Linked DNA regions of Rattus norvegicus. The protein of the gene in region 6 interacts with the protein of the main gene of each other region in a pairwise test. Links are inferred from orthologs where the notes say so. Each region holds a gene or a part of one and is shown on either strand. Other genes may lie near its edges. The genes, in order: Ccdc146, Sap30bp, Golga1, Nfu1, Zc2hc1c, Tfip11 and Rhno1.

The links.
Region 1: the proteins of Tfip11 (region 6) and Ccdc146 interact in binary tests that used the Homo sapiens proteins (3 or more experiments, as listed by UniProt). The two-hybrid records come from large-scale screens. The link is inferred for Rattus norvegicus from reciprocal best matches to the Homo sapiens genes TFIP11 and CCDC146.
Region 2: the proteins of Tfip11 (region 6) and Sap30bp interact in binary tests that used the Homo sapiens proteins (3 or more experiments, as listed by UniProt). The two-hybrid records come from large-scale screens. The link is inferred for Rattus norvegicus from reciprocal best matches to the Homo sapiens genes TFIP11 and SAP30BP.
Region 3: the proteins of Tfip11 (region 6) and Golga1 interact in binary tests that used the Homo sapiens proteins (3 or more experiments, as listed by UniProt). The two-hybrid records come from large-scale screens. The link is inferred for Rattus norvegicus from reciprocal best matches to the Homo sapiens genes TFIP11 and GOLGA1.
Region 4: the proteins of Tfip11 (region 6) and Nfu1 interact in binary tests that used the Homo sapiens proteins (3 or more experiments, as listed by UniProt). The two-hybrid records come from large-scale screens. The link is inferred for Rattus norvegicus from reciprocal best matches to the Homo sapiens genes TFIP11 and NFU1.
Region 5: the proteins of Tfip11 (region 6) and Zc2hc1c interact in binary tests that used the Homo sapiens proteins (3 or more experiments, as listed by UniProt). The link is inferred for Rattus norvegicus from reciprocal best matches to the Homo sapiens genes TFIP11 and ZC2HC1C.
Region 7: the proteins of Tfip11 (region 6) and Rhno1 interact in binary tests that used the Homo sapiens proteins (3 or more experiments, as listed by UniProt). The two-hybrid records come from large-scale screens. The link is inferred for Rattus norvegicus from reciprocal best matches to the Homo sapiens genes TFIP11 and RHNO1.

Annotation. Positions count from the first base shown.
Region 1 is NC_086022.1:14,670,410-14,673,909, reverse strand, and holds part of Ccdc146 (coiled-coil domain-containing protein 146), read right to left. Parts: intron 1,719-3,500; coding exon 1,623-1,718; intron 818-1,622; coding exon 647-817; intron 1-646. UniProt on the Homo sapiens protein: Essential for sperm flagellum biogenesis and male fertility.
Region 2 is NC_086028.1:101,692,255-101,695,754, forward strand, and holds part of Sap30bp (SAP30-binding protein), read left to right. Parts: intron 1-266; coding exon 267-318; intron 319-1,085; coding exon 1,086-1,144; intron 1,145-2,415; coding exon 2,416-2,500; intron 2,501-2,760; coding exon 2,761-2,942; 3' UTR 2,943-3,500. UniProt on the Homo sapiens protein: Plays a role in transcriptional repression by promoting histone deacetylase activity, leading to deacetylation of histone H3.
Region 3 is NC_086021.1:43,180,820-43,184,319, forward strand, and holds part of Golga1 (golgin subfamily A member 1), read right to left. Parts: coding exon 3,480-3,500; intron 835-3,479; coding exon 775-834; intron 209-774; coding exon 38-208; intron 1-37. UniProt on the Homo sapiens protein: Involved in vesicular trafficking at the Golgi apparatus level. Involved in endosome-to-Golgi trafficking. Mechanistically, captures transport vesicles arriving from endosomes via the protein TBC1D23.
Region 4 is NC_086022.1:121,019,406-121,022,905, forward strand, and holds part of Nfu1 (NFU1 iron-sulfur cluster scaffold homolog, mitochondrial precursor), read left to right. Parts: intron 1-170; coding exon 171-271; intron 272-2,774; coding exon 2,775-2,910; intron 2,911-3,500. UniProt on the Homo sapiens protein: Iron-sulfur cluster scaffold protein which can assemble [4Fe-4S] clusters and deliver them to target proteins.
Region 5 is NC_086024.1:110,662,471-110,666,481, forward strand, and holds the start of Zc2hc1c (zinc finger C2HC domain-containing protein 1C), read left to right. Parts: upstream 1-1,211; 5' UTR 1,212-1,295; intron 1,296-2,046; 5' UTR 2,047-2,065; coding exon 2,066-3,376; intron 3,377-4,011. Other genes in the region: Acyp1 (acylphosphatase-1), read right to left, coding at 692-857.
Region 6 is NC_086030.1:49,969,458-49,973,564, forward strand, and holds the start of Tfip11 (tuftelin-interacting protein 11), read right to left. Parts: upstream 2,801-4,107; 5' UTR 2,728-2,800; intron 2,677-2,727; exon of another isoform or gene 2,566-2,676; intron 1,698-2,565; 5' UTR 1,510-1,697; intron 1,224-1,509; 5' UTR 1,215-1,223; coding exon 1,006-1,214; intron 1-1,005. UniProt on the Homo sapiens protein: Involved in pre-mRNA splicing, specifically in spliceosome disassembly during late-stage splicing events. Intron turnover seems to proceed through reactions in two lariat-intron associated complexes termed Intron Large (IL) and Intron Small (IS).
Region 7 is NC_086022.1:163,319,641-163,322,386, forward strand, and holds the end of Rhno1 (RAD9, HUS1, RAD1-interacting nuclear orphan protein 1), read right to left. Parts: intron 2,572-2,746; 5' UTR 2,488-2,571; coding exon 2,323-2,487; intron 1,397-2,322; coding exon 854-1,396; 3' UTR 501-853; downstream 1-500. UniProt on the Homo sapiens protein: Involved in microhomology-mediated end-joining (MMEJ) DNA repair by promoting recruitment of polymerase theta (POLQ) to DNA damage sites during mitosis.

The DNA.
Region 1 (3,500 bases), on a different chromosome or scaffold from region 6:
CAGCCCCCTGAGTCTAGTTTTAAAATGTTAGCTTCTGCTGTGTGTGTGTGTGTGTGTGTGTGTGTGTGTGTGTGTGTGTGTGTGTGTGTATGTGCGCGCGCGCACGCGTGCACGCGCATGTACACGTATGCTTGCTTTATGATTGCTGCCTGTGGCCCTTTGCAGGAGTCTGGGGTGATCCTGGGATGAAGCCGCAGCTAAGAGCATCGGGCACTGGTCCATGGGATGCTGTCTGATTACTCGTCCAATGCTCCGATCCTAAGTTGCCACCTTGGAATCTGCGGCTCTGTGACTTGCAGATTCTCTCTGTGGCTCATGGCCACCAGGGACACTCACTTCATTCTTACTGAAGTTGCCATCTTTCGGATCTCTGATTACTGTGCTGCTGCTTCTCTTTAGCCTTTAGACCTACTTTGGATAACTGGATACTGAGGGTTTTGTTTGTTTGTTTTGTTTTGTTTTGTTTTTTTGTTTTTTTTTCCCCTGGTTTGGCTTAGTTTTCCAGGGTATGACTGAGTGTCCTCTGTTGTCACTGACTTTGAAAGAATGTGATGTGGAATTACCACCTTATAATGAATAATCCGTTAAGGGGAGGCTCGCTTGCGCCTGCGCAGTAATTAGCGGGCAGCCATAACAGGGCGGTTACCTGGGATTTCAGGAAGTCCTTAGCCTTTTGTTCTTTCTCTTCCATTTTGATCTGAGTCATTCGCCCGAGGTTGAACAGCACCTCACGCATAGTTTCTTGCTCCTTTAAAAGCTTGTTTTCCTCCGCAATCTGCTGCTCGACTAACTTGGCCTCGGCTTCTGACAGAGATCTCTTTTGAAAAGCACAGGGTGAGAATTCGCTTTCTGAGGGAGCCCAGAAAGGTCTGCACGGAGCCCAGCCTCTTCCTTTTGAGTTTATTAAGAGGCCAAGCCCCAAGTTTGTTTCCCTTTGTTTTATGAAGGGTGGAAACTAGTGGGGTAGTGCCATCAACCCTGTTCCTTACTGTGTTTTTAAATGACTAGGAGGAGTTTAAAAATATGTTTTAAAACACTTCCACAGTAGTTTGGCTGACAAAAGTTTGGAATTTAAAATCAGACATTGGGGAAACAAGGTTGACTTTTATGCAACCAACAGCCTTTTTTTTTTTTTTTTTTTTTTTTAGAAACATAGCCCGGGAAAGTTTTGTCCTTTCAAACACATCCTCCCTTCTTCTCAGAAACAAACAAACGAACAAAACAGTGTGGGAATGAGCTTGAAGGTGAGGGTGGTGTGTGTATACTCACGGATATACGACACTTGGCTAGCGGGCTTGGACATTGCACTCAACCCTCAGTAAACCTCCCCAGTGGAAAAATCGGCCATTGGAAGCAGGGCTGTAACATCATACTTTTACTCTAAATATTAATGCATATTGTATTATCTGTTTATATCATTATAAATATGAATGGGTTCCACTGTGGCATTCCCGTATACACGTACGTCAATCATCATTTGATACTTTCTGCCTCCCCAGTTTCTCCCGCCCTCCCTGCCACTTCCTGTCCCTTAGCATTCTCTTTCTGACGTGGTTTTAGGGAGCACTTTTGAGACACCATTTTATTCTCCATTCTGAGATAAACATGTGACTGATATTAACCTGCTGAGCCAGATTTCTCTTAGCCAGGTCAACCTCTTTGTGGAGCTCCTTCCTTTGCTCAGGCAATAAAAGGTCTTCTTTGGGGATAGCTTCCATCTGGAAATCAACATTTAAAAAGGAGGCTATTATGAAAACGACGTCTGGTGCTTAGGGACCAACCCCATTTCATACATTTTTAAAATGGCGGGCAAATCATGATTCCCGATCTTACAGGAATTTTGAGAATAGGGAATAACCAGAATAGGTTATAAAGTCAGTGCAAAGTAAAAGTATGAAGATCTACCAGAAATACATGATTGATTAGCTACAGATGGTTTTTCCTTTCTAAATAAATCTTAATATCTAACGCTCACTGACCATTGCCTAAGTATGTTGCAGGGCTCTGAGGGCTTGGATCCATCCCTCACAAATGGCATGAGGCATCCAGGGGTTTGGAAGAAGAGAAAGGCAAGCTTCCTTCCTCACTGGTGCAGGTGCAAACCCAGGCCGTCAGCCAGAGAGCCTGTGATCTCCCTAGCACACCCTGCTGCCTCTTGAATTCATGGTTCAGGAACCGAGGGACCTGCGTGTGTTGGACTGTTCGTGTGAGGGTATTATATACCCAGTCTGCATTCACTTATGCAACCTTACAGGCCAAATAAACGCAGTTCTTGGTTACCAGGGAGTATAGCTCACTACTTAAATGTGGCACTTAGATAAGTGCATGTAAAATTCTTCAAAGAAAAAGTTTAATTCCTTTGTTGCTTCCAAAAGCTACAGTTTTGCCATTATGCTTCTTGCCGTATTAGTGTGTACTTTTGTCCTGTGCTGAAACACTTGGGGGGAAAGTATTTGATAAGGAATCCCATAGTTGCTAATGAAGAAAGGCAGAATCCAAGGCTGTGGAAGGGTCATCTTGGGGTGCTAAAGGCCTACTTGCCTACTTGGGACCCCATTATAAGAGCAAATGACCTGACGTGAATCTTTTCCTCTGGTGACAACATTCTTCGAGTCACTAGGGTTGTACCCAAGCCAGTATGCACAACTGGGAAAGAGCCTGCTTGGTGGTTAAATGTCACCTAACAGGATCTTTGGCTGCCCCGTTCACCATCTGTAAGCCAGTGCTTCCCGATTCTCAGGGCCTCACCTATGACAGACAGCTGTCAAGAAGCAAGACGTGGTCTTGTGAAATTCATATAACACTATAAACTCTCATGTTTCCGATGAACAGATGAGGGTAGATCAAAGCAAAGGGGAAACTCGAGCAGCCTTGAGTACTTAGGAAGACTTCACGGGCGAGGCGAGATGCCTGTGAGGAAGACTCCATGTGTCTGATGTGGGGTGGGGGAGGGGAGGTAAACTAGCATCACCTGTGCAGACAGACCTAGGATGGGCTGTTCTCCATGCTCTCCTCCCTCAGGCCACAGGTCATGGCCTTGAGTGCTACCCGGGACCAGGAAATCTTAGAAAACAATGACAGAAAATCACAAACGCTTACTTAGTTTATCAACTAAAAGCTCCTAGCTAATTCTTTTCGACTCTTTCCACCATTCTGAGTGAAGTATGGACAGCATCACCATGAATTGTACTCAGTCTTAATTTTTGGCTTGCGCTCTTCTAACACGATATGCGCGTATGTTTATCTTCTTCGTGGGCCATTCCACGTGCATCTGCTGCATTCTGGTTAAATTTCTTATAAAACTCACCCTCTAGTTTCTTCAGAATTGCATAGCCAGCGTTTATGGGAAAGGTTGAGAAGACGAGCGGTTGGTAGCGAGCGGAACTTCATCTACCACAGTCTGCTGGGGATCAACTTTGACCTTATTATCTAAACTTTCGCTGCTGTTCTGAGTTGCAAGTGTTGGTATCAGAAACTGCTTTCACCTCCAGCAGTGACTT
Region 2 (3,500 bases), on a different chromosome or scaffold from region 6:
GGAGTGGCTTGGCTGGTAGTCTGGCAGATGCCAGTGACAGGCTTGGTCTCTGGGTCCCAACCAGTTAGAAGCCAGGACCGGGCCTGTGCCACTGCTACCAGCTGAGCGGACGCTCCTACTCTGCTCTTAGGAGCTTCCTGGCTTTGTGGCTGGTGATCAGGGAGCCGGCTGAAGCCCTGTGCCTTCATGAGGGCTGGGGCCCTAGCCTAGGCAGCTCCTGTGCACTGTGGTGTCGCTCTGACTACAGTTTAACCTCCTCTTTGCAGGATATGTTTGATCCCCACGGCTGGTCTGAAGACTCCTACTATGAGGCATTGGGTAACCTCTGTAGCTTTCTGTTTATCTACTCATCCACACACCCATCGGTCTGTCCATCCAGTCAGTGACTTAGGTGACCCATATCTCAGGCAGGGTCTCTGTGCCGGGCCATGTCTACAGGGCTTCTGTGGACAAGACTGACGGTGTCCCTTGCTGGCAAGACTTGGACACAGTACAGGCAGATGGGATAGTAATTCCCACACTGATGGCACTGAATTAATGTGAGCAGAGCCAGAAACCTTTGGCAAGCAGAGCGCCTGACCTGGCCAAAAGATTGGGAAGGCCCTGTTGAGGAGACCGTTAGAGCAAGGTTTGGAGAGGTGCAGGGGCCAGAATGCCCGGGGCAGAGGAGGTGTGTGTTCTAAGGCCAGGGAACACAGCACAGAGCTGGGAGTAATTTCACAGCCTGAGCCTTGAACCTGTGAGTCCCCGTCACAAGCCCAGAGCTTGTAAACCAGGTCCTGGCTCATTAGTGTGTGTATATGTGGCCCTTACAAGTTTTGCCTTATTTTAAGTTAGTTCCCAATATTTTTATTTACAATATAATTCTGTATCTAGCGTTCCTTAGTCAGTAGGGTGGTCGTTCACTGTGAATGAAGCTCAGGAGCAGCCCCCAGACCCTTGGACCAGGCCCATGGTCCACGCTGACCAGGGCCTAACACTTCACCTGCTCCAGTGCTGAGCCCATGCAGCCCTTTAGGCCAGTATGAGGAATGCAAGGTCAAGGCAGTGACCTCCTCGGTCACACACTGCTCATGTCTCCACAGCCAAGGCCCAGAAGATTGAAATGGACAAATTGGAAAAGGCCAAAAAGGAGAGAACGAAAGTAAGTAATGACTGACCCTGGGGCGGAGGTGCTGTGAGGTGTGCAGGTCCTGCTGCTGAGTGGAAGAGTCCGGCTTCCCAGGCTCCCTGCCACCCCTACCCTTCATGTCTAGTGAGGCCTTGAGCATCCTTGGCCTTGGCCTCTGTGATGAGCAGACGGCTGTCTATGGAAACCACTGCTCAGCTGTGGCAGGCTCGGCGTCCCCGGCATTGTGCCCTTCCTTAGCCCACTGCAGAGCCCTGGGGGCTTTGCCTCTTATGGCTCAATGGTGCTCCAGCCTGATGTGAAGTAGCTGTTCCTTCATGAGAGTGAGGCTAAGGCCTACTCTGCGTTGTGCATTTCTTGGCCTGCAGAGCTGACCTCCACAGCCAGCTTGTGTGGGTTCCTATGGATCTCATGTCTGAGAGCCACATAAGCCATCAATTTGGACACCACGCACCACTTCTGTAGCAGTGTCATCAGAGAGGGTCTGCCAGGAGCTTCACGATCCCCAGATTGTCAGCTGGACATGAGAATACACCTTCTCCTACTCTGGTTAGGGCTGAATTCCTCACAGCAGCTGTGACCCACAAGAGCCTCCCTTACCTCCAGGCTGAGGGCTGCAAGGCCTGGGGGTGTAACTGGCCCTTTCTGAGGCTTTGTGGCCAAGAATGTGGGAGTGGTGTGAGGGGGAGGAACTAGGTTTCTTGTCCTTTTTTAAAATGTGCATATGTATTTTATGTATATGTGTGTATGCCTGTGTGACAGAAGAGGGCATGGATGGTTGTGAGCCACCATGTGGGTGCTGGGAACCAAACTCGGGTTCTCTGGATGGAACCACTGAGCCATCTCTCCAGCCCCAAGTTTCTTGTTCTTAACCATTGAATGAATCTCCCCCTTCTTTCTCTTCCTCTCCCCCTAAACCCTAGGCTTAACACAGGTCTGGGGACCACAGCTGTCCTTCTGTGCAGAAGATAGCACTTCCTCCTGGATGTGAGGAGGAGAGGCCTGGCAGCTGGTTTAAGGGGACAGTGGGTTGGGTGCCGGTCGGTCATGTGTGGTAACTTGTGATGCTGGGAGGGACCCCACATCTGCTGGGAAAGTGTTTGGAAGAGTGACAAAAGCCCCTCAGGCACCTCCCACTCTCCCAAGTGCTCCCAGCCAAGATGGTTTTCAGGGCCTCTTTTGTTTAATGCCGAACTCTTGTGCCCTGGGAGCAGACAGATGGACGGACAGCACAGGAAATGGACACATGTCTCTGCAATGGTCTTATTGTCCTCTCTCCTCTCCAGATTGAGTTTGTAACAGGCACCAAGAAAGGCACCACAACCAATGCCACGGCCACCACCACCAGCACTGCCAGCACAGCTGTCGCAGGTACAGGCTGCTCATCCCGTCCCTGCACCACCTCAGGGCCTCCAGATAGAGCGGGAGGTTCATGGGTTTGTTAGAGAGGGACTGTGCCAGGCTTGGCCTTGTGTGCTCTGCCAAGTATGAGCATAGCAAGGCTCCCAGATTATTGACTTCCCTCTGGGTTCCTGGACCCAACCTGCCTCTGGCCTGCCGGGAAAGGGGCCCTGCCCTTGGGGTCCTATTGGTTGGTGCTGATCTTGACCCCTCTCTTGTATCACCTCTAGATGCCCAGAAGAGGAAGAGCAAATGGGACTCGGCCATCCCCGTGACGACAATAGCGCAGCCCACCATCCTCACCACCACAGCCACCCTGCCAGCAGTGGTCACTGTCACCACCAGTGCCAGCGGCTCCAAGACCACTGTCATTTCTGCCGTGGGTACCATCGTGAAGAAGGCCAAGCAGTGACCAGAGGACACCCCAGGACTTGGCAGGACTGTGCAACCCAGTAACTTCCACCCACTGGGAGGTGCCTTTGTTTGGGACTGATACGCACTCCCCACATGCCTTCCAAGAGGAGCCTCGGCATTCCAGCCGGAAGGACGTCACAGCAGAGGCAGTGTGTGCATTGGACAGGGTCTGTGCGCACACCTCTTGGGTCTCACCCAATTAAAAGTACTGCTTCTTGGGTCCTGGCATGTCAGGTGCACTGGCCTCTCCCACGCTGCAAACCTGAAGCTCTAGTGCCCTTCGTAACAGTCAGGATTGTGGCTCAGGATGAACAATGGCCGACAAGCCACGGGAGTACTCAGAGGGGTAGCCCAGGGAGCTGCCATGGTCATTCCCAGTGTATGCCCAGGGCGTGGGCAGGTGGGAGCTCAAGGAGGGGCCACACACATAACCTTTCCTGTTGTCTATTTTCCTATTCTCCTGATCCAGAAACCAGTTCTGAACAATTCTCCGGCAATAACAGAGGCCGCTGCTCTCTTGGGTGCAGTTAAACACTCCCCACACTGCTTATGATAC
Region 3 (3,500 bases), on a different chromosome or scaffold from region 6:
CCTCCCCATCCCCAAAAAGCAGCTTGGAAGCCTTTACCTCAGATTCTCGACAGGACATGAATTTTAAAACAACATGTTTAAGGTATTCAAAGTTGATCTCTCGGGCTTCAGTTAGGTCAGTATTATTAGTGACAGAAGGGGCCATATTTGGTATCTCAGGGCCTGTCTTCTCCCGGACCTCAAAAAGCTCATTGTCAGGTTTGATTTTCTGAAAAGCAATGGGAGAATGTGCTATGTCACACCCCTCAAGCTAGGTCTAGGATCACAGGGAGTCTCCAGTCCCAGCTGTGATCATCTATTGCTCCTTTTTTTTTTTTTTTAATTCTTTTTTTTCAGAGCTGGGGACCGAACCCAGGGCCTTGCGCTTGCTAGGCAAACACTCTACCACTGAGCTAAATCCCCAACTCCGCTCCTTGACTAACTTACATCACTGGGTAAAAGGGCCCTTGACTAGAGGTCAAGTGCCTGAACCTAAGGAAGGCTCTGCTCCTCCTCTTGGGGTGAGTGGCTGAGAGGAGTGAACTAGGTCATGTTTTTCTATCTCTTTGAGAACACAGGCAGGTATGGAGAAGGCAGACTCAGACCTTTGCCCAAGGACACATGGTCACAAGAACACTTCTCAAGATCTAAGGCACTTCCACTAGTCCATACCTGATCTCTGCAATCAAGCAAGAGAGCATACCAGGCAGCCAAGGACCCCGGGGTGGACCAGAGTCAAGGGAGGGTAGAGGGGTCTGGGGGTGTGATGTAGGGCTGTATGTGGAGGGCACTCACCAGCTCTTTCTGCAGAGTCTTCTTAAGTTCCAGCATCCTCTGCTGCATTTGCTTCATAATCTGAGGTAACCCATCCCAAAGCCAGTTGTCAGTGTCAGGTTAGAAGGTTTTCAGAGGCCCTCCTGAAGGCTCATCCCCCTTACCCTTTCAGCTGCCTTCATTTCTTGCTGTTTTACCCCTTGCTTTCCTAGGCCCCAGAGAGGCCACAGTATTATTGTTCTTTCAATAGTTCTCTCAACACCCACCCAACCTTGGGTGGGTCCTCAGGCTTATTGGTGTGCCCATATACTTCAAGAGTGCTGCTTTGAGTGGCTCTGCAGAATATATTCCATTTTTTTAAAAAAAATTAATTTTATATTTATGGATGTTTATGCTTGAGGGTGTGTCAGAACCAATGGGACTGGAGCTACCATGTGAATGCTGGGAACTGAAGCCAGGTTCTCTGGATAAGTGTGCTCTTAACCTCTGGGCCATCTCTCCAGCCTCTCAGATTCCTTTTTTTTTTTTTTAATTTTGTTTTTCACACCTATCACCACTGCACTGGTAATTTGCAGTGTAATTCAGATAGTGTAAAAGTAAAATCCATCAATACTAGTTTTACACACACACACACACACACACACACACACACACACACACACACACACACACACACACACCATATACACACGTACTTTTCATGTGCAGTAGTGTTTTGCTTGCATGTTGTATGAGGGTGTGGGGTCCCCTGGAACAGGAATTGCAGATTTTATGAGCTCACAGCACAGGAGAGTTGTGAGCTGCCCTGGAGGTGCTGGGAACTGGACCCAAGCTGCAAGGACAGCTAGTGCTTTTAACCTTTTAGCTGTCTCTCCAGTACCTTGGGAAAGTCTTAAGCTCAGTGGTAGAGCGCTTGCCTAGGAAGCGCAAGGCCCTGGGTTCGGTCCCCAGCTCCGAAAAAAAAAGAACCAAAAAAAAAAAAAAAGAGTTTTCTTTGACTTTCTAGTTTATGCTCTGATTCTTATACTGAAGAGTGAAAACTTGCTTCCTTTTTGTGTTCTGAGACAGGATCTTCCTACAGCTTAGGCTGGCTTGGAATTCACAGTAGTTCTCTTGTCTCAGCCTCTCAAGTGCTGGATTAGAGCTGTACATCAGAATGCCCAGCTTTTTTTTTCATGCACCATTTTCACTGTTTCTATTTCCCCAGTGGTTTCGTGTGTGTGTGTGTGTGTGTGTGTGTGTGTGTGTGTGTGTGTGTGTGTGTGTACATGAAAGGAGGGGATGGGGTGGTGGAGGCAGAGTCTCATAGATACCAGACTGGCCTCAAACTTGCTATAAACCCGAAGAAGATGACTTTGAACTCCTATTTTCCTGTGTCTATCTCATAAGTACTGGCACTACAATCATGTATAACCATGTCTGGCTTCCTAGTGGTAATTTGTAATGGGTTAGTAACTCTAGGGAATGCTCACGCTTTACTGGGTTTCCCTTTTTTTTTTTAAGTTTATTTATTTGTTATATATAAGTACACTGTTGCTGTTTTCAAACACACCAGAAGAGGGCATCAGATCCCATTACAGATGGTTGTGAGCCACCATGTGGTTGCTGGGATTTGAACTCAGGACCTCGGAAGAGCAGTCAGTGCTCTTAACCACTGAGCCACCTCTCCAGCCCCCGGGTTTCCATTTTTTTTTTTTTTTCTTTTCTTTTTTTTCCGGAGCTGGGGACCGAACCCAGGGCCTTGCGCTTGCTAAATCCCCAACACCCCATTTTTATTTTGTTTTATTTTGTAACGTTGGGATGGAGCTCAGGGCCTTACCATGCATGCTAGTCAAGTGTTCTATTGTTGAGCCCCATTTCAGTCCCTGACACCTCCTCAACCCCCTCCTTTCTTTTTTTGAGACAAGGTCTCATTACAGAGCCCTGGCTGGCCTTGAACTCAGATGAATCCACTTGCCCCTGCCTCCAGAGTGCTGAGATTAAAGGCACATACTACCATGACTGAATTTCCCCATTGGCCACTCTTGAAAGCAGGACTCAAGGTTGATATAGCATGCACCTTTAATCCCAGCACTGGAAAGATGTGAACAGGCAGATTTCTGTAAGTTCTAGGCCAGACAGGGCTACACAGTGAGGTCTTGTCTCACAAAAAACAAAACAAAAAAAACCTACCACCACCAACAACAACAAAAAACCCACGTGAAACCTGTCTTTAAAGAAAGCTTCATAGGCTGGAGAGATGGCTCAGCATTCAAGAGCACTGACTGCTCTTCCAGAGGTCCTGAGTTCAATTCCCAGCAACCACATGGTGGCTCACAACCTTCTGTAGTGGGATCTGATGCCCTCTTCTGGTGTGTCTGAAGACAGCTACAGTGTACTCACATACATAAAATTGAAACAAAAAGGAGAGCAAGCTTCATATAACCCAGGCTGTTCTTATTTCCTGGCCTTTCTGTATCTGTCTCCAGTGTGCAGGATTGCAGGTATGGGCCACTACACATCAGAGAGATGTAAGCGGAGGAGGTCTGAGGAGTGAGGCCAAAAGTCCCAGCACTCAGATCTGAGTCTGAGGCCAGCCTGGTCTACAAAGAGTTCCAAGACAGCACAGCCATGGGGTTGGGAGTGTTGGGGGGAAGCCATGAGAAAAATAGTGGAAAGATGGCAGACTAGGGGGAGGGCCAGGTTAGAGCAGACCCATCACAGCTAGGCAGGTGTGGTGTCCTCACCTTATTTTTCTCTGTAAGTTG
Region 4 (3,500 bases), on a different chromosome or scaffold from region 6:
ATCATACTGCTTGCTGGGTGTGGCGCTCATGTCTGTGATTCCAGTACTAGGGAAGCAGAGGCAAGAGTGTCACATGTCCATGAGGCCATCTGGGTTATAGAGTGAGACTCATTTCAAAACAACAAAACAGATCAGATTCCTTACTATGTCACTCTTTGTTTCAAATGTAGGCTCTGTCATGTGGCGACTCCACACGCCTTTAAGAAACAGCCTCTGCACCAATATGTACAGAGACCACTCTTCCCTCTGCGCACGCCCTTGTATAACACAGGTACAGTGCTAGAGCTGATGGTCATAAAATACAAAATGTTAACGTTTTCCTTTAAAACTGTGTGTGTGTGTGTGTGTGTCTGTGTGTGTTGTACTGCATGTGTGGAGGTCAGAGGACAGGTTGCTTAAGCTGGATCTCTCCTTCTACCATGTGGGTTCTGGGATTGAGCTCAGGCCTCTGCCTTGGTAGCAAGCACTCTTACCCCCTGAGTCATCTCAACAGCCCAAGAATTTGTCAATTTTCAATTCAGAAGCTTAGAAAAAGGATCCAGTGATTTCCTGTCCATCCCCACCCCCTCCCTGTGGTAAAACCATACTTTACTATTATTAGTCAGAGGACATTATCTGTAGACTTGTGAAATCTCCATGTCTTGTAAACACATTTTCTAGACCATGAGTTGCTCAATAAATAATGTCTAAAATGAAATATTATAAGAAAGAAGTTACAAGTGGATTTTTGTTTGAGAGAATCATGTGTCTTTTAAAGTATTGCTTTCTCTGTTTCTATAGGAATTGTCTGTACAGCAGTGAATTCCTGCCTTTAATCAAACCTTCTAGCATCTGATTTTGAATGTAATTTGAATGTGGTCATTGCAGCATTGGGGGAGCTTGGAGAGGTGTGGGTGCGCTTGGCTTGATGTGGTCATGGATTAACCTTTTCCTCCTGCTGCCTCGTGCACCTTCCTGTGGCCATGTTGTAGGGTGAGATAGAGGGTGGTAGGGGCATGACTAAATCTGGAAGAAATCTTATCTCTTCTGCAGACTGGAGGTGGGAAATGTTTCCTGGAATCACAAAATGCCTTGGATGTAAATACTGAACTCAGTAGGTCAGCCCACTTTAACTGGTTAACTTTTGTGGAACTGCAGTTTGTGGTGTTCTAGTCTTTTCCAGTTGGATACCCACTGATTTCAGTCTTTGACAGTGACTTTCAGTTTTTGTTGTGTTGTGCAGGAGCCGGTGTTTGTCTACTAAGGGACCAGTATTGTATCACTCCCAAAGGGAAAACACTTCACTCTCTCCTACCCTGCCCTAATGCAGGACACTTTCTGGCTGGATGTTAGAGCTAGGAGGTGATTGATTTTTGTCTTTTGAGATTGTACTTTAATAACAATGTTTCTCCTTTCCCTTTCTTCTCTATAAACCCTCCTTTACCTCTCCCCACTCTCCTTCAAATTCATGGCCCCATTTTCAGGAGTTGTTATAGTTCGAGTATGTGTATTCACGTATAAATTCCTAAATATAACCTGTTAAGTTCATACAATGTGACTTGTATGTGTGTGGAGTCGTTTAATTAGGTATTTTTAAAATACCTAATTAAACTGGATTTAGAATATAGTTGGAATGATGTGGCGAAATATCTCTTCAGATTAGTCTTTGAGGCAGCTTACTGATGTTGAGAGAGAAAAGCATGTGGTGATCCAGTATTTTCCTTAATTTTTCTCCCCCAGTGTAATAGATGGTGTGGGCTGTTTGGTTTGGTTTCTGTTTTGTTTTGTGGGTTTTTAAGAGGCTCTTACTAACTGCCCTAGGCTGGCCTGCAGCCTGCTGCACACTGCTGAGCCTGGCATGAACTCAGGCTCCTCCTCTAAGCCTCAGCCTCGCAGGCCCTGGGCTACTGTGTCTGCCGGATTCTAGCTTTCAAACGAGATTTCGTTCTGACCTCTTTGGTTTTACATTTATACTTATACCCTCTGGTACTTCTTTAAACCCCTTTTTCTGTGGACCTGGATTTCTCAGTGTATTGAGTAGGGTAAAGCCAGATTTAGTCCTTCAGATTCAGCGAGATGCCCAGTGAGCACAGTGATCTTAGTTACAGGAAATTAAGACAACAAAATACAAAGCCATGCTTGGTAGCACACTGTCAATCCCAACACTCTGTAGGCAGATCCCTATGAGTATGAGGCCAGCCTGGTCTACGTAGTAAGTTCCAGGCTAGCCAAGACTAGATAGGAGACCTTGTCTCAGATAGACAGACAGACAGACAGACCAACCTACAGAAAATGACTGGTTCTGAATAGAAAGTAGTGACAGTCTTCCCTTTAAGCTTTTTTTTTTCTGTTCTCCGTAGAGCAGACTTGCCTTGGTTGGAGGCACAGGCGTCCTAATAGAATGCAAGCGTTTAACCGCTCAGGATGTCTGGTCAGCCTGGGAGAAAAAGCCTGTGAGGTCACTTTTCCCAGTGTTTCTTACTTCTGTTTCTCTAAAAATCGGGCACTTCTGGGAACTAGAGAGGCTTCTCGGTAGAGAGAGCGCTTGCTCCTCTTGCAGAAGGGCTAGGCGTGACTCGAAGCATCCTTGTGGTAGCCTGCAGCCACCATGACTGCGTTCTAGAGGCTCCGATGGCTTCCTCAATGCCGCTGGCACATGGTACACATGCACGGATGTAGGCAAGACATTCAGACATATAAAACAAAAAATAAAAGTAAATCTTTTTGAAAAAAGCACTTCGTTGACCATAACTTAAACCTTTTTTTTCTAGCATAACACTCTTTCTCTTTTTCAGTACGATTCATGTTTATTCAAACACAAGACACCCCAAATCCCAACAGCTTAAAGTTTATACCAGGAAAGCCGGTTCTTGAGACGAGGACCATGGATTTCCCCACACCAGCTGCGGCTTTCCGTTCCCCTCTGGCCAGGTACTGTGTCTGCTGTGTCTGCTGGCTTCCACCAGAGAGCGCTGCAGCCCTCTGTGCCTGATGCAGCCTTGCAGAGCTGGTGCATTTGTGTGATTTCAGAAGAATTGAGTTGAAGTTACAAGCTTCCTCCTCAGGAGTGTATTTGACAGTTCTGTAGTATGAATACTTAAATTTTTATTATATATATATATTATTATATTTTAACTTAAGAAACTTCACCAAATGGGCAGTTATGATAAACTTCTGATCCAAACCTTTAAAACTCTAAATGGTAAAAAATTGTACATGTATGTATGTGTGCACAGCGTGAGTTTGTGTGAATGTGTGAATATATGCACAGTGTGAGTTTGTGTGAATGTGTATGTGCACAGTGTGAGTGTGATTGTATATGTGCACAGTGTGAGTTTGTGTGAATGTGTGAGTGTGCAGTATGAGTTCGTGTGAGTGTGTGCACACACAGAGGCCAGGCCTGACCTTGAGAATCTTTTATCACTCTCTGTCTTATTTAGACAAGTCTACTAGGGATCTGAACACGGGTCCTCACGCTTGTGTGCCATGTACTTTATCCACTGAGACATTTTCTCCAGCAC
Region 5 (4,011 bases), on a different chromosome or scaffold from region 6:
TGCATGAGGAAGTTATGCATACTTTAAAACTAGAGATTCTGAGGGCAAGTGCTAAAACTAGTTTAAAAGGGAAACCATAGAAAGCTGACCAAGGCAGGGGTCGGGGGGGCTGAGATTCGCCAGTCCTAGTCGGGGGAACCGTCTGCAATGCAGAGAAGGCCGAAGAGCCAACAGAGAGTGAAAAGAATGACTGACAATCTGCCCTAGAGAGCCCACCTAGGAGTTTCTTCGTAGCACATAAAAGCTGACATCTGATATGTTGTATTAATCAGACTGCTGTCTACTTTATTTCCCACGTGCACGAATCTTCTGAGTAGTAACAAGAAAAACTGAGCTATCTGTTCCAAACAGCTTATCCAAATGAACTGAAGCACGAAGAAGACAAATAAACTCTCTTCTGATGTCAAAAAGTTGCAGAGGATCGTTTAATGTTGAAATCAAGTTATCTTCATTACTGTTGATCTGGTTGTTAACTTTATTATTGTTACATTTGGCTGAGTCATTCCTGGGCCCTAAGTAGTAACGGTCACGTGAGAGTAAAACATTATAATAGCAGAATGATTAGATTGGCCGTAGAAACTATCCTGGGACTATAACACGTAGCGAAATAAAAATAAAGCTAATAGCAGGCGCCAAAGCATTGCGAGGGAAGACAGCCCGGGAGCATGTAGCCTGGAGCTTGTAACCCTACCTGGGGCCTGAGCGCAGTAGCGCAGCGTGCTCAGAAGGGTGATCAGCAGTCCCACTCCCGCTAGCCCGACAGACCCCCGAATCCTGGGGCGGGATGAGTCCAGAGCCCATCTGAGGGCTCCACCCTTCTCCAGACAAGGGCACACCCTAAGGTCTGGGAGCATCATTCTCGGAGAAATCCAAACTCTTCTTTGATGTAGCCCCAGAAAAACCTCTCCAACCCCTTCCCAAGGGCAACGCTGATCTGAGCTGTGGAGTTGGCTGCAACCGGTGTCAAGTGACCCGACTGCACCCCTACTCCACCTCCCTTCCCTCTTTCCCTCCCCCTCCCTCCCCATCCTCCTATTCCCCACCACCACTACCACCACCACTTCCCACCACCCAGACCGGTCCCGGGCGGCTTTCCGACAGCTTGTGGACTGCGCCTGCGCACAACTGGAGCTCAAAGTTCTCAACCAGAGGCGGCGCTCTGGTCTCTAGGCAACGGGATAACAGAGGTAGACAGAGAGCGCCTGCGTGGACGGCGGTTGGGTTTAGTCAGGTGTGGAAGACTAGGTCTTGGGGATTTTCCTTGAGCTGGAGCGTCTCCCCTCCGAGCGCCTAAGGTATGCCGAAAGGGGAGACACCGAGACCTCCCGAGGGGTTGGAGATGAGAGTTTATCCTTAGGGGCCGGGTTCCAGTAAGGGCTCCCATTTGACCTTCTGGGACAGAACATGACTTCGGAGTTCCGGATTTAAAGCGGGCTGGGGCCCTCAGGTGTCTGTCACCCCTCCCCCAACACACACTCTTTACAAGCTAAGACCGGTTTGAGCCACAGAGCATCTTTGAATGAGGGTTTGACAATCAGGCACCTGCTTCAGGTCGGGCAACCCCGTACTCTTTGTAGTTTGCAGCAGGGAGCCTTTTGGGCCAGGCCCTGTCCCCAGGCCACTGCTCTCACCCTGTAAAACTGTGGGACTGGACTCAGAGCAGCCTCTGCAGTTTACAAGAACCCGGGGCTGGTAAGAACAGGTTGCCTGTTTTGTGTCACAGACGACCTTCGAACTAGAGCTTTTCCCACCCATTCCATAAATGGCGTATGGCAGGTCATATACCGGCCTGGAGAAAAGTCAGTGGCAGAACACCTGTGCCACGTTTATGCTTTGGACCTCGGGGCTTAGCAATGTCTGGTCTAACACATAATCATCACTCCCTAAATGCTTATTGAAAGAACATCCTGGCGGATCCAACACCACAGTCTCTAGAAACGTTTAAAGGGAACGTGGGTAGGGCAAACGTACAAACAGTTTACCCTAGCAGCCGGGAGTGAACCTCAGACAAATTCTTCACATGTATCTGGTTTAAATCTCCCCTAGGCTTCGGTCCAGGCACTGAATGGCTGGTCTCCAGTTGGCTCCACATCTGCCTGTGGGCGTTATGTTCCCACATAATAAAACAGAAGCTCATGGGCTCCACTCCGCTAAGCACGACCCTTACGAACAAAGTGACTCTCCCCAGCGGTCCTCGATGGGACACTTGAGGACTAGTTTCCAGCAGAAGCTTTGGAGCAACACAGAGCTGGAACAAGAGGATGTCATCTCCACCCACCCCAAAAGGAACATCTGCACGAAAGCCCGGAGGCACTCCTGTCCCCACAGTGCAGGAATCAGCCAGCAAGGCTCAGGAAACAATGCCCAGGGCCAAGGAAAGGGTTTGTTTTACTTGTCTAGCCCGACACCCCGGTATCCCAAAGCAAATGACCAGGACTTCATTCCATTTAGGAAGAAACGAGTTGGCGTGGATCGGGCATACCCACTGAAACCCATGGTCCACCGGAAGTCACATAGTACAAGTGAAACAGGCATTGACGGGGACCAGAATGGCTACCCAAGGCTCCCTGACTCGAGCGAGTTTTCGGACAGCAGCTTTGGGTTAAGGAGCTGGGTGAATCCCTCTCTCCTTGCTTCCCCGCAGGCAGAGAAGGTCATGGCACAGCTCCATAGGACAGAGTGGACACAGATCCAAAGGCTAGAAGCTGCAGGCGAGAGTTTACAGAAGGAAATCCGAAGAAAGGAGATTCTCCTACGAGAAAAGCTAAAGAAGACAGAGGAGGGTCTTCGAAGGATTCAGAGGGAAAAGAAACAGGCCATTTTCCAGGAAGACAGGGAGCTACAAAGGATGGTATTACCTAGGAGGCGGGTTAGAGATGGTGACCTCGACACCACACACAACTCCTGCTTATCCCCAGAGTTGAGGTCCGAGGTGTTCAGTAGAAACAGGGGAGAGGATCAAACGTGTGAACAGGCTCAGGAAAACTCTAGTCCACTCCAGCTCTCTGATTATGAAATCCAGAGGCTCAAAAGGGAAAGGCTGATGGTAAGTAACAATAAAATCCGAGACAGAGACTCAGGACCGTCAGCAGGCACGTTCTCTCAACCTGCAGAGGATCTGGGCGATGAACTGCAGGCATCGAGTTTGTCCGGAACACCAGGGTCCTCAGGGTCCAGCTCCTCCACAGAAGAGCAAGAGTTGGGCAAATGCAGCCACTGTGGACGCTCGTTTCTTTCCCTCAGGCTGCAGAGACACTCCACCGTTTGTGGCAAGATGCAGGGTTCCAAAAGAAAAGTGTTTGACTCCTCCAGGGCCCGGGCGAAGGGCACAGAACTAGAGCAGTACTTGAACTGGAGGGGGCCAGCCACAGACAAGGTAATAAAAGCCTCCTAGATTTGACTTTGTGTGGGGGTGCGCAGCAGGGCCTGCTATGCCCTCACCAGTTTTCTTGTGGGAACTGGGGTCCTGTAAGACGAAGGGGAGAATCAGGATTTCTGTTTGCCATCTCTCTAGTCAGAGCTTTCCACTGGAGCCTCACAATTCTGTGTGAGGGTAAGAATCTTATTGTGTCTGTGGGAATGTCATTATATCCACTCAAAAATTAAGGCCTAGGCTTCCCCTAAACTGACACATGTACACACACACACACACACACACACACACACACACACATATGCAGGCACACACCACACGCGCACAACCCCAGGCATACAAGCTCGAACAGTTTAAATAGATTTTTATCTTTTAGCGACATCCTCAGAGACCTGTAGGTGTGGATCTACATGGATTGCTAATCAGTGGCCCTTGCTCTTGAGTTTCTATCTTACACCCTTGTTTTTTACACTCCAGATTTTATTCCCCTCCCTGTCCACCCTCCGACTGTTCCACACCCCATACCTCCTCCCCGAACCCCCCCCCCATCTTAACACCTTTGTGCGGTACGGCCTATAGATAAATCTTACTTGAATTGACTCCAAAATCTAGACTTCAAAATATATGACCTTTTGATT
Region 6 (4,107 bases):
CTGTGAGCCAAAGCAGATTCCCCGAAGATGGAATCAGGGGCAGTGTGAGCTGCCAGCCGTGGCACTGGCTGGGAGCCACACTCAGGTCTGCTGGAGCAGTGCTCAATCTTCATTGCTACTGAGTCCTCTTCCAGCCCACATTTAACGCTCATGTGGTCCGTTCAACTCAAACCTGTAGCTGAAGACTTGCCACTGTCAGTAGTTGATTATGAGTTCAAATTGGGATGCAATGATCTCACTTCCCTTTGACACTTTCAAAAATGGCGCTATTGCTGCGTGCAAGAACAATCTGTAGAGTGGCTCATCCCTTTCACCCTTCATGTAGGAACCTGGTGATGGAACGCAGCTAACCAGGCTTGCCCTGCAGACATCTCCACCTCTAAGCCATCACACTGGGCCCCTTTCACAACCGAAAAGACTGTCTCAGCTCCCTGCTTGCTTTAGAGTGGTACAGTTCTTATCTAGCGTGCATGTAAAACACACACGGCATTTGTTTTAGATACTCTTTCAAGTGTAAAACTCAAACAGAACAACCCAGATAGATAAAAATCCTAATTAAAATTAATCAAAAAATCATAAGTAAAATTAAACAAAATATTCTGAGTGAGGTCAGCTGGGAGGCACATGCTGTTTTCTTGCCTTGAGAGACAGCATCTTACTATGTAGCCCAGGCCGTACTACCACACGTCCCCTGTGGACGACGCCTTCATTTGGGCCAACAGTCTTCTCCAGAGTGACCTTCCCTGACCCCCCCTGTTCTCTAGTGCCCTGCAAGTGTTCCTTGGCACAGCATGGTCCCACAGCTGCCATGCCTGTGGTGGACCAGCACGTCTCTGTCCATATCCTGCTCCCGTCACACAGTAATTGCTAAGGAGGATGTTGCCATCCCAGCTCAACAGTACAGAGCAGGATGCTGTAGTGTCTGGACAGGAGCAGGGCAGGAAACTCTTCTAGGGTGTCCTCCTGACCCTCCAGACCAAGGGCATGCAGCCCAGCACACAGTACCGTTTGCCTCCGAAGCTGGGCCTCTCCTCGTCTGAGTCACGCTCAGCCCACACTCCATAGGTGGCCTCCTCTTTGGTCTGCCAATGACGCTGCCGGTTGGGGTTGAACTCATTCTGGAGATCCCAGTCAGTGATCTCAAAGTTCTCACGCTCGTCATCGTCATCATCAAGGTGGCCTTCCCCATCCCGGTACAAGTGGGACAGAGACATGGCCAGTCACTACAAGAAGAGGGGACAAGAACAGCACTGTGAGAACCCACGGCCAGCAGAAGATCCTCCGGAGTCAAAAAGCTATGAGCCTCATAATACAACTCAGTAAAGCAGCCATTAAACACAGGATAAAATGACCAGCTCTGCAACAAGTGAGACGAGTCAGACCCGGTCATCACAGGGGTCTAAGGAACAATGCCTTTTCAGAGTCAAACATAGTGCATGCATGGGGTGGGGCCACAGACAGACGGCAGACATGCCACAGAAAGGAAGCAACAGCTCCATGTGCTATTACCTCAGAAACCAAGTTGGTCCTTTCCTTCTCCAGGGAAGTTGTACCTAGCTGATTTGCAGTTCCAGGGAAACTTTAGAGCATTTTCTGAAATACTGTCTCACAAAACTGAAGGTTTCCTTCCCAAACCTGAATGGCTTCTGAGGGATTGGAAGGAGGTGGTCTTTCTGGACGACACTTCACAGTCACGCCTAGAGGGTGTAGAGTAAACAAAGTGTTCTACCCAGGTTATCTACTTAGCTCTCTCTCATAACTGCATTCATTCAGTTCCAGAAGTAGCTTGCAAGCACTAAAACAATCCTTTAGAAAGACAAAGGCAGTCCATCTCAGTAATTTCAAAGCCAACCTGGTCTCAAAACAGACAAAACAACAAAAGCTGAACTCCCTGCAGGTGCTCAAGAAACAGCACCCTCACCAGGCAGGATGATGACCATCTTTGATTCTAGGAATAGGGAGGCAGAGACAGGTGGATCTGAGTTCAAAGCCAGTCCAGGACAGTTCCAGGACAGACAGGGCTGGCTGTTACACAGAGAAATTCTGTCTCGAAAAAAAACAGTAAACAAGGTGGGGGGAGGGGAGAAAAAGAAAAAAAGAAAGAAAAAAAAGTAAGAAAAAAGCATCTTCTACTTCCGTCCCGTGGTCAGGTGGTTTCAGGATCACCGTCATTACCAGTCAGGGCTGAGAAGTGAACCCTTCAAAATGACTGTGAAAATCAGGAACACTCAACACTACCGCCTGAGTTTAAATCACGCTTCTATGAACACCTCTGTGTGTGGGTATCACATACAAAGGCCCCGACACTGCACAGCAATGTCCTCACTATGTGACTCCATGGTGTACAGATGCACCAGTAATTGACAGCGGAGAAAGCGCTCCGTTGTTATAAACATCTCCCTACTCCTCACTATGCACCGGTTCATCACAACAGGTCTCAACCTCAGCTAAGAGTTGAGCGCAAAGTTCTCAAAGGAGCAGGAAGCCCTGGGCTCATGAGATTACCACCTCCCCAGCACAGGGGATAGTAAAAATCCCACAGTGGTCAGGAGACACTCAGCTTACCCGCGTTCGGGGCTGGTTATTTAGTGTCAGCGTCAGGACGCTCCCAGGTCCCGTCCCGCGGCGGGCCGGGCTGGAGACCTGGGCGCGGGGAGAGCATGGGACCGCCGCCATAGAGCATCAGCCCGCCCTCCGGGCCATCCCGCCACCCCGCCGCCCGCTCACCTCACTCAGCACCCGTGAATCACACAACTTCGGTCCACCTTCCCAGAGCCTGCGAGGGACCCGCTAGCCGAAACCCGGATGTGACCTGCCGGCGCACAGGAAGTGCGTCACTCGCTGGCGGAAATGGCGCGCTGTTGCCCCGGCAGCGACTTAACGCTAAGGGGGCGTGTCTGAGTACTGGAAGGCCTCGCTCTGCTTCCGGTTCCCATCGGAACTGAGGCCGAGTGGATGTCTGGTCCCTCTGCAAGCACTGGGGTCTTGGTTTGTCAAAGGCGGAGAAGGTGTTATCCCAAGGAAGCCACCGCCGGATAGAACCGCCGTGCCCATAGTGCCTGAACCAGCGTCACGGGGACCCTGAGTGATTAAAATGTCCTCAGGACCCCATGTCGCGAGAAGGAAAGGCTAAGGGCCCAGCCCCAGAGGAAGAGCTTGGCTGCCGGAGGTCCTCGCGTTGTAATCGGCGAGCGTGCTTCCTGGCTTTTGCTTTATCTTTTCTGTAACTCTGTAAACAGGAAAGGCAGAGGAACCGAAGAACTTATCTCTAGGCAGCTGTGCACAGCCTGTAATAAATTTGTTTTTTCTTTGTCAATCCCTGGCCCTATTTTGTTCTGAAATACCTGATTCTTGGGTTGTCTCTGTTAGGATAAACCAGTGTGGGCCTGGAACAGTTTAAGGAATGAGTTTCCGAAGGAGTGCCCGGGCGTTCTCGCCAGGAAGCAGTTTTCCTCGCTGCTGTAGTTATTTCTCTGGTGCTGAGAAAGAAAGGAGTTGGGCTTTTTTGTTGGTTTGGTTTGGTTTGGTTTTGGTTTTTGGTTTTTTCAAGACAGGGTTTCTTTGTGTCCCTGGCTGTTTTGGAACTCAACTCTGTAGATCAGGCTGGCCTCGAACTCGGAGATATGCCCGCCTCTGCCTCCTGAGTTCTGGGATTAAAGGCATGCACCACCACTGGCCCACAGGACGGGGGCATAGTTCATCTTACACTCTACACATCTTACAAATCTACACATAGTCTGATGCCATCTCTGGTTCTGAAACACGCTCGTTTTCTCTAGTACACTAAAAGGCTGCGTCTTGGTGGGTTTTGTTGTTGGTTGGATTTTTGTTTTTCCCCATCAGCTTGATACACACTAGAGTTATATGGGAAAAGGAACCTCAGTGCTTCCATCATCCTGATGGTCTACAGGCAAGACTGTGGGGTGGTTTGCTTGATGAATGATTGGTGTGGGATGGCCCGGCCCGTTGTGGGTGGCACCACCCCTGCTCAAGTGGTCCTGGGTGCTGTAAGAGCGGGAACAAGCCAAGAAGCAGTATTCCTGTGGCTTTCTGCTTCAGTTCTTTTTTAAATGTCTGCCTTGGACTGAAATCTGTAAAGCAAATACA
Region 7 (2,746 bases), on a different chromosome or scaffold from region 6:
TTAATAGGAATTCATTTCTCCAGCATCTGTGATTTCTTCCACTCTAGACAGAATCTCAAAACACAAACCTAAACTACTCATCTGTTCCCTACCTCTCTGACCCCACTGTATTCACCAACACAGGCCTGGCTGAGGGCCTTTGAGCAGAGGAGCCAAGGCTGTCAAGGTAGCTGTTGACCATTAAAAACCAGAGCTCGGGCTGGAGAGATGGCTCAGCAGTTAAGAGCACCCGACTGCTCTTCCAGAGGTCATGAGTTCAATTCCCAGCAACCACATGGTGGCTCACAACCATCTGTAAGGAGATCCGATGCCCTCTTCTGGTGTATCCGAAGACAGCTACAGTGTACTTATATATATAATAAATAAAATAAATCTTTAAAAAAAAAAAAAAAAAAAAAAAAACCAGAGCTCGCTCTTGATTTTCTCCGACAGCCAAGTGACAGCTGAGTGTCAAGCGGAACCAAAAGTGTGGAACGAATTAGTTCAAGTCAGAAGACCAGTGAGCATAGATAGACCTTTTATAGATGGGCGTGCTGCCACATTGCTGACAAAGGTGGGGTTCTCTAAAAACTCAGGACAGCCATTTATTTACAAGCACTGTAAACAGTACAAGATACTTCAGAGGTTTAGAAGTTAATATGAGAAAAATACCAACAGTTCATGATACTAAATTCAACTGTTTCTGAGGCAAGGTGGCTTAAAAAGGAAATCTAGAAACCGAATTCCAACTCTAGGCCTCTGGCTAAGTCGTCTTCCTAGTAATGTTCATTCCATTGCATCCTCTCAAACCAGAAGTGACTTGGGAAACCTCCCCGCAGCAGCTCTGGGGTGAACCGAAGTCTGTGTAGTCCAGTCAGGTCTTCACAAGGAACTGGCTTTTATCCAGCTTCCCTCTCTCCTTAAGGTAGGCAAACAGGTGCCTTCTGCGTCTCCACGTGACCTTAATCCCATACTTCTCCTCAGGGGTGTCCTTGACCAGAACAGGCCCCGGCTCCGGGGTCCTGGGGGTCCTAGGACCAAGGATGCAGCTAGGAAGACTGTTTTCCTTCTGGTCTGGGGAAATGGGATCTTCTCTTACCGAAGACCCTGGGGTCTGGATATCGGGGGGCATGAACACATGAGGTAAGCTTTGAGGTACGTGCACTGACAGCTCCCCACAGCTCTGGGGACTGAACAATGGCACTAAAGGCCTTCTGGGAGCATCCTTTTCTGAGTTCTGGAGCTGCTCTCTGTTGGATAGCAACAATGTCTCTGAACTCGAAGACTCTGGACTCTCAAAGGTTAGACGTGGAAACTTGCAGGTAGATCTCCGAGTTGGGTGTCTTGCTTGGTCTCGGTGATGTTTCCGGTGTGTTGGAAACCGGCTTTCTGCTGCTGTATCAAACTGAGGTAACACCTGTGCATGAAAAAAGAAAGATGGTGGTGGTGGTGGGCCGACTACAAAGAAACTATAGTAAATATGTACAACCCTTTATTTTTTGTCCAGAATCGTGAGGACTCACTACAATAAAAACCCAGCTATGTGATACAACAGGAAGACAAGGGACCTGGGCCAGCTGTCCAATCGCCCTGCTCTTCCAGTTGCTCCTGAGCAGGAGAGGAGACAGGCATCTCTCATGGCCACCACACTCCACTGCTCAAGCTTGTTTAACTCTGTCCTCGGGAGCAGAACACATGCTCTGCACACTCAGTTCAGTCCTCAGCAAAACCACGCCCTCAAGAGGGTAGGGACAAAGGGACTGTCTCCAACACCTGGCGAGGGCCTGGCAGGAAGGTCTTCAGCAAATACGACCGGCAGCTCCGTGTAAGTGAGACTGCTGAGGTGTGGGATCTAATCTGCATGTTCATTCAGTCAGTGCGTATGAATTTCTTTTGTCAGACAGTCTCACTGTAAAGTCCGGGCTGGCCTTTGCCTTGAGATCCTTCTGCCTCAGCCTCCCCAACGATGAACTTGCGTGAATTAGCACGCCACCTTTGTAGGAGGTTTCTCCACTAAAGTTCAGTCAACTGTAGAGTACCTAGTACTTTTCATATGAAATACAGGAAGTAATCTTTTATAAGTTGGTCATTTTTTTTTTAGCTTCTTCACCCAGTGACTGGGGAGTGAAGTGTTCAATCAGAACTTTTCAGAGGAACCTGGCAGGAAGACTCCAATTCCATATAAAACATATTTTAGTGTGAATGAAAAGAGGATATACCAGACAAATCAGGTAACTGCAGCCAGAAAGAGCAACTGCTTCCCTGTCCCTGCTCCAAAAGGATTAAGAGTCAGGATTCTGAAAAACGTAACACAGCAAAGGTCAAAGAATTGCGAGGACTCACCCAGGAAGTGATGGTGCTCTGATCAATGGGTTTGCTGGGCACCTGTACAGTGTGGGTAATGGGCTGCTGGTGAGATTCATAATGGGGTTTGGGGCCCTCCAGTGGCTGTTGGTGGAATAGCAGCTGGGCTTTCTGGCACTGTCTGCGTCTCTTTCGGGGAGGCATCAATGGGTAAATGAAGAACAGTTAGTAACAACATGATGCAGGCTGCCTTCCTGGTCTGGGTCAGAGTCCAGTTGCAAACCATGCCTGGAGAGAGGAAACAAAGGGGGGGGATCATGTGGGTGGCACCCCTCCCCCAATTCTTCATGACGTCAGGGTAACCAATCTATCAGAAACCACCAATCAGACCTCAGGTTGTAGGTAAACCAGCTTCCTATACCAAACCACGAGAAACATACGATCTTATCCATACTCAACAAAA